Oryctolagus cuniculus: one gene and its partner. The protein of the gene in region 1 binds, or shares a complex with, the protein of each later gene. Links are inferred from orthologs where the notes say so. Each region holds a gene or a part of one and is shown on either strand. Other genes may lie near its edges. The genes, in order: MUS81 and EME2.

What was found.
Region 2: the proteins of MUS81 (region 1) and EME2 are in contact, whole or in part, in a crystal structure (PDB 7F6L), measured with the Homo sapiens proteins. The link is inferred for Oryctolagus cuniculus from reciprocal best matches to the Homo sapiens genes MUS81 and EME2. Residues at the interface, in NP_079404.3 of Homo sapiens: His330, Glu351, Phe354, Lys357, Arg358, Arg363, Val365, Glu381, Leu385, Gln386, Thr389, Asn390, Gln392, Val393, Ile394, Phe398, Lys400, Arg401, Tyr411, Leu414, Leu415, Arg417, Gly418, Leu419, Arg421, Leu422, Pro447, Ile464, Lys467, Ala468; in NP_001244299.1 of Homo sapiens: Glu140, Arg177, His179, Glu220, Glu221, Val224, Leu225, Gln227, Leu228, Trp229, Asn231, Leu232, Asp233, Leu235, Arg245, His246, Ala249, Val250, Lys252, Ala253, Leu254, Gln256, Tyr257, Lys260, Gln261, Glu264, Gln266, Phe268, Phe270, Cys271.

The regions. Positions count from the first base shown.
Region 1 is NC_091432.1:5,906,463-5,910,824, forward strand, and holds the start of MUS81 (crossover junction endonuclease MUS81), read right to left. Parts: upstream 2,958-4,362; 5' UTR 2,821-2,957; coding exon 2,686-2,820; intron 2,602-2,685; coding exon 2,472-2,601; intron 2,342-2,471; coding exon 2,238-2,341; intron 1,898-2,237; coding exon 1,736-1,897; intron 1,644-1,735; coding exon 1,575-1,643; intron 1,496-1,574; coding exon 1,410-1,495; intron 569-1,409; coding exon 431-568; intron 295-430; coding exon 199-294; intron 116-198; coding exon 1-115. UniProt on the Homo sapiens protein: Catalytic subunit of two functionally distinct, structure-specific, heterodimeric DNA endonucleases MUS81-EME1 and MUS81-EME2 that are involved in the maintenance of genome stability.
Region 2 is NC_091450.1:33,388,960-33,393,449, forward strand, and holds the start of EME2 (probable crossover junction endonuclease EME2), read right to left. Parts: upstream 2,911-4,490; 5' UTR 2,497-2,910; coding exon 1,632-2,496; intron 1,509-1,631; coding exon 1,372-1,508; intron 1,221-1,371; coding exon 1,128-1,220; coding exon of another isoform or gene 874-1,127; coding exon 782-873; intron 642-781; coding exon 551-641; intron 471-550; coding exon 355-470; intron 266-354; coding exon 76-265; intron 3-75; coding exon 1-2. Other genes in the region: NME3 (nucleoside diphosphate kinase 3), read left to right, coding at 3,098-3,143, 3,209-3,339, 3,432-3,533, 3,607-3,719, 3,803-3,920. UniProt on the Homo sapiens protein: Non-catalytic subunit of the structure-specific, heterodimeric DNA endonuclease MUS81-EME2 which is involved in the maintenance of genome stability. In the complex, EME2 is required for DNA cleavage, participating in DNA recognition and bending.

The DNA of each region.
Region 1 (4,362 bases):
CCTGGGCCGGGTCTCCTGGGCCACCCACACAAAGTCCCCGACGTGCAGCTTGCGCACCGTGTGGCTCACACGCAGCCGCTGGAGTTCTCGGAGTAGCTCGGGCCTGTGCCCCGCCCTGGTGGTGCAGAGGAGGCCAAGGTCAGGGCAGGCCAGCATCCCCTCCCCCCGCCGGCTCCCAGGCTGCCCCGCCTCACTCACCCCCTGGTCTCACCAACGTCCACACACAACAGCACCCTGTACTCCCCGGGCCCCAGCTCCAGCGCTGCCTGCTGGACACCCCCCGCGCTGGCGCCACTACGGGGGAGGGGGAGGGGGAGAGAGGTGGTGTTGGAGGCCAGAGCCCCCAGCGCCCCGGCTCAGCTGCAGGCGACAGAGCAGGGCGGGGCGGCGGCTTCATTTCCAGGCCCCCTCCTCCCCTGCCCCTGCTCACAGCTCAGCCGGGGCCGCCCCTGGCACTGCCGGCTCCTCCCCGGGAGGCTGCTCGGGCCCCACGCCCGCGTCCACCGAGCGCGGTCCCGATTCAGCCAGCTTCTGGGCCAGCTCCAGGCCCTCCGCGGTGAGCGAGTACCTGGGAGGGGACACAACACAGCTCTGCCTTCTTCCCTGGCCCCTGGCAGGCTCTCGCCTGCCCCACGCTGGGCTGCGCCGGGCTGGCCTCCCGCAAACAAGCCCAGCGGCTCCCTGTGCCCACCTTCCCGCTCCTGCCCCCGCCTTCCCACCCCTGCCCGGTGCCACTTCCCAGGTCTGCGAAATGCACCCTCTGGCACGCACTCCTCCCTCATCTTCCCGCTCACCACTCTAAGGCCTTCGAACCGCTTCTCCCGCTGCCCTCACCCGCCCCTGCCTCCTTCACTCCCACACTCCCCAGCCGCCGCATCAGGTCTGGGAACTGCTGGGAGCCCACGGGAGTCCGCCACGCCCACCGCCCCCCCACGCCCACCGCCCCCCCACGCTCACTGTCCCCCCCACGCCCACTGCCACCCACGCACACTGCCCCCGCCACGCTCACTGCCCCCCCCCACGCCCACTGCCCTGCCCCGCTCACTGTCCCCCACCACGCTCACTGTCCCCACCACTCCCACTGCCCCGCCACGCCCACTGCCCCCCACCACGCTCACTGCCCGAGTCATGCACACTGTCCCCCCCACCCCTGCCACGCCCACTGCCCCGCCCCGCTCACTGTCCCCGGCCACGCTCACCACCCGGGTCATGCCCACTGCCCCTGCCACGCCCACCACCCACCACGAACACCGTCTCCCCCACGCCCACTGCCCCGCCCCGCTCACTGTCCCCGGCCACGCTCACTGCCCGGGTCATGCACACTGTCCCCCCCCGCCACGCCCACTGCCCCCCCACCATGCTCACTGCCCCCCACGCCCCCGCCCCGCCACGCCTCCCGTGTCCCGCACCTGGCTGGCTGGTGCGCCCTGAGCACCAGGTTCTTGTGGAGCAGGGAGCGGAGCGCTGGCCAGGACCGCGAGCTCCCGGGAGTGACCTGTGCGGTGGGAGGGGACGCTCAGAGCGCCGCGGCGCTGCCACGCGGGTCAGGCCCCGCGCTCGCGCCCTGGGCTCACCCTGGCGGCCATCTGAGTGCACCGCTGCAGCAGCTCCTCCTTGGTCAGGAAGCCTCGGCCCTCGGGGTTCTACGGCCAGCAGACACGCGGGGGCAGGCTCAGCGCCGGCTGCTCCGCGCCCGCCCCCGTGCCCGTCCCCCTCCCGGGGGCCCGGCACGCACCAGGTGCTCCTGGTACAGCAGCAGCAGCACCGCCCGGGCCCCTGAGTGCCGAGCCGGCCAGTAGCCACCGGAGCCGCCGGCCTGGGGCTGCGCGGAGGCCTGAAAGGCAGAGGGGGACTGGGAAAGGGAGCCAGGCCCCCGGCCAAGCCACGGCTGCCCCACCTGTAAAACGGGCCGGGAGGGGGGTCGACCCCCTAGAAATCGGGGCAGAGGCGGGGGGGGGGCGGCAGGAGCAGTGGCAGGGGCTGGGAGTTACCTGCTGCCCCCCAGATCCCCCTCCCACTGAAGTCTGCCCGCGCAAGGACCCCACCGTGGCTTCCCTAAGTGGCTGAGCGTGGAGCTGTCGCCAGCTGTTCCCAACATCCCAACTTACAGCTTAAAGCACTAACAGGGTGTCATTCGCCCCAAGCCCGGCAGCCGTGGTGAGAGCCGGACTCAGGCCTGCTAACGCCCCAAGCCCCTAGTGCCCGGCTCCCCCTGCGCCCTCCCCCCCCCTTCTCACTGCCACGGGAGGGGCCTGGGCCTGGGCGGGCGGCCCTTCGCCGGGGGGACTCCTCGCTCCGGACGGTGAGCCCTGGCCATCGCCATCGCCATCGCCATCGCCGCCTGCGGGAGCGTAAGAGCGTCAGCCCCGCACCGCAGCTCTGAGGGTCCCGGGGTGCAGCCTGGAGACCCGCCAGCCCCGGGGCGAGCGGAAGCCCGAGCCCGCAGCCAGGCCATCGCGGCGGGCGCTCACCGCCGGACGCTCGGTGCTGGCGCAGCCGCTCCTCCAGCATCCTGCAGAGCCCGTCTCCGAAGTGCTGCAGGATCTTAGCTTCTTTCCCGCTGCGCAGGGGCAGTGGGTACCGCCGGAGGGAGCGCAGGGCCTGGCGGAGGCGGGCGGGAGGCCTCGGGTCAGGGCAGGTCGGTCCCGCCTGCCGGCTCGGCCCGCACCTGCCCCCGGCACCCACCTTCTGAAACACGAAGCGCGTGCGGCGCCCCCTGCTGGCCGCCTCGTCGCGCCACTCGGTGAGCCAGCGCACGAAGAGCGGGTTCGGGCACTCGGGCAGCGGGCGCTTCCGGCCCAGGCGGACCGGCGCCGCCATGAGCCCCGGCGCCCGCGGGGCCGGGCCGCCGCCAGGTCTGTGGCTGGATTCGAACACCTGGCCGGGGTAGGGACTGAGGGCGGGAACCTCTGCAGTCACGTGGCCCAGCCCGAGAGGCGCCTCCCGCCGCCCTCCCCGCCCCCGCGCGGCCCTCAGTGGCCGGAGCCCAGCGCAGCCGCGGCCACCTCTCGCCTCGGTGCCCCCGCCCGGCCGCGGCCGGCTTTTCGGGCGCGCCCCGCCCAGGCCCCTGAGCCTCGACCCGCCCCTTCCTCCCACGGCGGATTCGAGAGCGGGGGCCCCACGCGCCCTCGGAGGAGGGCGGACAGCGCCCCTAGCGGCGAGGAGGACCGCCAGGCCCTGCCTCACCCCGGCGGAGCGGGGCAGCAGAGAGGGGGCTCAGAGAGAGTCCATGAGACTGGGGGCGGGGGATAGCGGAGCGCAGGTGCATCTGTGGGTAGGGGGTCAGAGGAGCGCAGGTGCATCTGTGGGAGGGGGCTCGAGGAGACTCCAGGAGACTGGGGGCGGGGGACAGAGGAGCGCAGGTGCCTCTGTGGGAGGGGACTCGGGCAGAGTCCAGGAGACTGGCGGCGGGGGGTAGCGGAGCGCAGGTGCATCTGTGGGAGGGGGCTCGAGGAGACTCGAGGAGACTGGGGGCGGGGGACAGCGGAGCGCAGGTGCCTCTGTGGGAGGGGGCGTGAGGAGACTCCAAGAGACTGGGGGCGGGGGACAGCGGAGCGCAGGTGCCTCTGAGGTGCCTCTGTGGATAGGGGGCACGAGAAGAGTCCAGGAAGGGCGGGGGACAGCGGAGCGCAGGTGCCTCTGTGGGTACGGGCTCGGGGAGAGTCCAGGAGACTGGGGGCGCGGGACAGAGAAGCGCAGGTGCATCTGTGGATAGGGGCTCGAGGAGAGTCCAGGAGACTGGGGGCGGGGGATAGCGGAGCGCAGGTGCATCTGTGGGAGGGGGCGTGAGGAGACTCCAGGAGACTGGGGTCGGGGGACAGCGGAGCGCAGGTGCCTCTGTGGGTAGGGGCTCTGGGGTGTGCGGCGGCGGAAGCCCTAGCTGGGCGGACTGGGGTGAGAGCAGAGGCGCTGTGTGCGTCCCGGCAGGTGTGGCGGCCAGAGGGGCGCACGTGAGCCGCTCCGGGGCTGAGGCTCCCCGGCTCGGGGGCTCGGTGGAGGCGCGGGACCCCCTTCCCCCAGCGAGGTTTGGAGATGGAACTCGGTGGGCCCAGGTTGAGCGACACGTAAGCAGGTGCTTCGGCGCAGGGAGGGGGAGCGGGCCCTGCTGGCGTCCGCAGCAGTCCCAGGTCGAGAGCGGGCGAACCCCAAGCAGGGGCGTGCGGGGCCCGGGACCCCCCGAGAGGGCCGGAGGGGCGGGCGCCGGGGCCCAGCCCGCCTCCCTCCCAGCACGGCCTTATAAGGAGCCCGAAGCCGGCGCCGCGGCCGGCTCCGCCCCCGCCAGGCTCATGTCCTAATAAGGACATCTAGGGCATCCCGCGGCCGGGGGCGGCCGCGAGCGCGTCTCCAGGGCGACTGCGGCCC
Region 2 (4,490 bases), on another chromosome or scaffold:
GCCTAGGGGAGCAGGCCCGAGCATGAGCGGCTGCGCTCCGTGACCTGGTCCCCGCGCCTGGACCGGGAGGCGTACCTGCTGCAGGAGTCGTGGAGAGGGGAAGGCGGTGACGATGGAGCCGGCCACGGCGGGGCTGACCCGGTTAAACTGCATGATCTGCCGCTGCCAGGCCTCCCGAAGCCCACGGCCATCCCTGGTTACCCGCACACCTGCGGCCCAGCGCCCTGCCGTGCAGAAGGAAAAGGCCTGGGACTCCCGGTGCTGCCTGCGGAGGGAACGGGAGGCCTTCCCCACCTCGCCAGCGGCAGCTGCCCTGCAGCGCCCTCCGGCCGGGGGGGGGGGGGGGGTGCGCACTTGAACGGGCGCTGGGCCAGCGCTCTGGTGAGGGCGCACACGTGCTGACTCAGCTCCTGCCACGAGGCCACCAGCAGCACGTCCATGTCCGCCCAGAGCTGGAGGAGGACCAGGGCCTGGGAGGATGGAGCACAGCGTGTGTGGACCACGGGCCTTCCACAGGGGCCTGGCTGGCCTCCGAGGGCGGCCACCTCACCTCCTGCACCTCAGGCCTGCCGACGGGCACTCCACCGCGGGCCTCTGGACTCCTGGGTGACTGTGTCCCCCGTGCACTGGGCTGGCTGGACCTGGGCAGGGGTAACTCCCTCGGTCCCCCAGAGCGAAGCCCTCGCTCAAGGGGAGCTCACTGGCTCTCCTGCAGGGGGCCCCACCAGCACCCCGACCTCGCCATCCCACCCCCAACCCTAAGAGCGGGGGTGAGCAGTACCACAGGTAGGCGTCCAGTCCCACGACGGCCAGGTGGGGGCGGGAGGGGCTCTCGGGGGAGACCCAGGGCACTGAGCAGATGGGGCCGGAGGCCTGAAGGGGAGAAACTGCACCCCGTTTGCCGGCAGGTCAAGGGCCGGGGTGCACGCAAGGGCAAGCTTTTGAGAACAGTGGCTCTGCTTTCCTGGAGACAGTGCCCAGGGTGTGCCCCCGACCCCGCCAGAACTGACCGGCTCCCCCAAGTCCCTGGTGCACTCCTCCAAGCTCAGGCCCCAGGGCCCTCCTGCCCTGCGAGCCACACCGGACTCTGCCGCACCCAGACCCTGTCCAGCTCCGTCCCGCTGCACCTGAGCCAGCCGGGCCGCGCCCTGCAGAAACTCCTCGGGCTCCAGCAGCAGCAGCGACAGCAGCTCCGGCTCCTCTCGCTCCTCAGGAGGGGCCTGCGGGGACAGCGGGACGCGCCGCCGCTCTCGCCCGGCCCAGGGTCCGCCGCCGGGAGAGGGCAGCCCGGGTCTTCGGGCAGCGGCGGGGCGCGAGCTCCCCCCCAGCACCACCACTCCTCGGGACACGCAGTCCGCCGTGGGCACTCACGCTGCGGGGGCAGGGGTCGGGGGTCCCCCAGCTCCAACACAGGCTCCGCGGACGGCGCTGGGGCTCGATGCGGCACTGACAGCCCAGGGCGCCGAGCGCCTGCAGCAGGACGTCCGCGCCAGCGTCCTCCAGGATGGCTGGGGCCGCGAGGGGCACGACTCAGCCGCTCTGCGTTCCCGAGGCTCCTGCCTCCCCCACCCAGGACCACCGCCCGCGGCGCAGAGCCCCGCCAAGCCCGGGCCGCGCCCCTCGCCCCGCACCTGGGTCTACGCCCACCGCGAGGCGCTTCAGGGCCCGCTCCGGCCGCAGCGCCTCGGCCGCCGGCCCCTGGGTCCCCGCGCCGGCCGCCGCCCCGGAGGGGCCCTCGGCGTCCGAGTCCGAGATCTCCCAGGTCGGCGGCCTGCGGCGCGCGCCCAGCGCGCGCCCGCACCCCGCTCTCGCCATGGGCGGCCCGGCCTCTCCTCCGCTTCCGGCGCGCGCGCCCGCTCGCTTCCGGCGCGCCCTCGCTCCGCGCAGCCGCGGCAGCTTCCGGCCGGGTGCCCGGGGCCGCGCGGCGGGACCATGGCGCGCAAGAAGGTTCGGCCGCGGCTGATCGCGGAGCTGGCCCGCCGCGTGCGCGCCCTGCGGGAGCAGCGAGAGCAGCCGCGGGACTCGCAGCGCTACGCCCTGGACTACGAGACCCTGACGCGGCCGCACTCGGGCCGCCGCCTGCCCGTGCGCGCCTGGGCCGACGCGCGCCGCGAGAGCCGCCTGCTGCAGCTGCTCGGCTGCCTGCCGCGCTTCGGCCTGGGCCGCTTGGTCACGCGCAAGTCCTGGCTGTGGCAGCACGACGAGCCGTGCTACTGGAGGCTCACGCGCGTGCGGCCCGACTACACGGCGCAGGTGCGTGCCCCCGCCGGCGCCGCGGGGCTCGGGGCGCAGGCGCGGCCCAGCTGACCCGAGCCGCTTGCTTTGCAGAACTTGGACCACGGCAAGGCCTGGGGCGTCCTGACCTTCAAGGGTAAGGCCGGCCGCGCGGCGGGGGACGCGGACAGGGGCGCGGGGAGCCGAGGAGCGGGCGCTGAGCCCCGCCTTTGCCTCCGCAGGGAAGACGGAAGGCGAGGAGCGCGAGATTCCCCAGGTCATGTACCACGACTGGCGGCTGGTGCCCAAGCACGAAGAGGCGGCCTTCGCGGCGAACGTGCCGGGGCCCGCGGACGCCCCACGGTCTGTGCCCTACCCGCCGCTCCTGCGGGCCATGATTCTGGCCCAGCGGCGCAAGAGCGGGGACCCCAGCCTCGAGGAGCCAGTGCTGAACTTGGAGAGGGTCCGTGTGGACCCCTGGGACTACCCTGCCAGGCTGAAGGCGAAGGGACAGCCCAAGGGCACCCCTGTCTGAATTCCCGGAACCTGCGGGTCTCGGAACACGGTCTGCGTGTGAGGGCAGGGCCAGGACTCGCACTGCCCGCAGGCTTCCTCCGCCCGCCCCCGCCCTTATTGTGGCCAGAAATAAAGGCCAGCCGCATCTCCTGGGTGTGGTTTCTTTGCGTCTAAGGCTGCGGGAGGGAAGGGCCACGGGAGGCGTGTCGCCAGCCCCGTCCGTGGGTTCCCGGGGTACGCGCAGCAGCCCCAAGTCCGGAGCGGAACCTGCGCGCAGCCGGGGTCCCTTTAAGCGCAGGCCCCGCCCCGGGCGCCGCAGGCTCCGCGCCTCCCGCCCCGCAGGCTTCGCGCCGCCGCCGCCGCCATCATGATCTGCGTGGTGCTGGCCCTCTTCGCGCACCTCTTCCCGGCAGGTGAGTGGCTGGGCGCGCGGGGCGGCCTGGGCAGCTCCGGGCCGGCCTGACGCCCGGCTCTGCAGCAGGCACCGGCGCGCACGAGCGCACCTTCCTGGCCGTGAAGCCGGACGGCGTGCAGCGGCGGCTGGTGGGCGAGGTGGTGCGGCGGTTCGAGAGGAAGGGCTTCAAGCTGGTGGCGCTGAAGCTGGTGCAGGTGGGGCGGGCGCGCGTGCGGGGCCGGGGGGGCGCGGGGCGGCGCTGGCCCGGGCCCCGGCGCAGGCGCAGGCGGTCCGCACTCCTCCGCAGGCGTCCGAGGAGCTGCTGCGCCAGCACTATGCCGAGCTGCGCGGGCGCCCCTTCTTCAGCCGCCTGGTCAAGTACATGAGCTCGGGACCCGTGGTGGCCATGGTAAGTACCCCGCCGGGCAGGCGGACGCGGGAGCCCGCGGCGCGGTGACCAGCCGGCCGCTCCGCCTGCGCAGGTGTGGCAGGGGCTGGACGTGGTGCGCGTCTCTCGGGCACTCATTGGGGCCACGGACCCGGCAGACGCCCTGCCCGGCACCATCCGCGGCGACTTTTGCATCGAAGTCGGCAAGTAAGGCCCGCCCGGGGTCGGTGCTGCCCGAGCCCTCCTCCCCGCATCGCCCCTGCCCGCGCTCAGCCGGCCTCTCCGCGCAGGAACGTGATCCACGGCAGCGACTCGGTGGAGAGCGCACGCCGCGAAATCGCACTGTGGTTCCGGGCGGACGAGCTCCTGTGCTGGGAGGACAGCGCCGGGCACTGGCTGTACGAGTAGCCGCCCCGCCCCGCCCCGCGGCCGCAGCTCCTCGTCCCAGCCTGGCGTGGCGGGTTGGTTGGTTGGTTGGTTTTGCAATAAACTGAAGGCGACTGTGCACACTGATTCGGACCGGGACGACGCGGAAACGTTGCTTTATTACACAGAGCAGATACGGGGTTCACTTGCAGGGCCAAAGCCGCGGGAGGGTGGTCTGGCGGCCCCTCCCCCGAGCTGCCCCGCCCACTGACCCCAAGTCACGGCTGGGTCCCGTGGGGACAGACAGGGACTTGACGGACATCACAGTGGAGAGGTGGCTGGGCCGCGGGGAGAAGCCTGCTGGGGGACGTGGCTGCGGCCGAGGCCAGCTGGGCTGGTGGGCAGCTGCCCGAGGTGTGTGCTTCTCTGGTGGGGGGCGGCCCCGATCAGTGCCTCAGAGCAGGGTAAGGTCTGGGCCCCCGGGGCAGCAAGGCCTGGCCATGCAGGGGCAGTCCTGGGCCGATGCCCACCCCTCCCCCCACTCGCATGCGCAGTCTGGCGGCCTGGGCCGTGGCCTCCCGTCCTCTCCCCCTGCGCAGCCGCAGCGGGCAG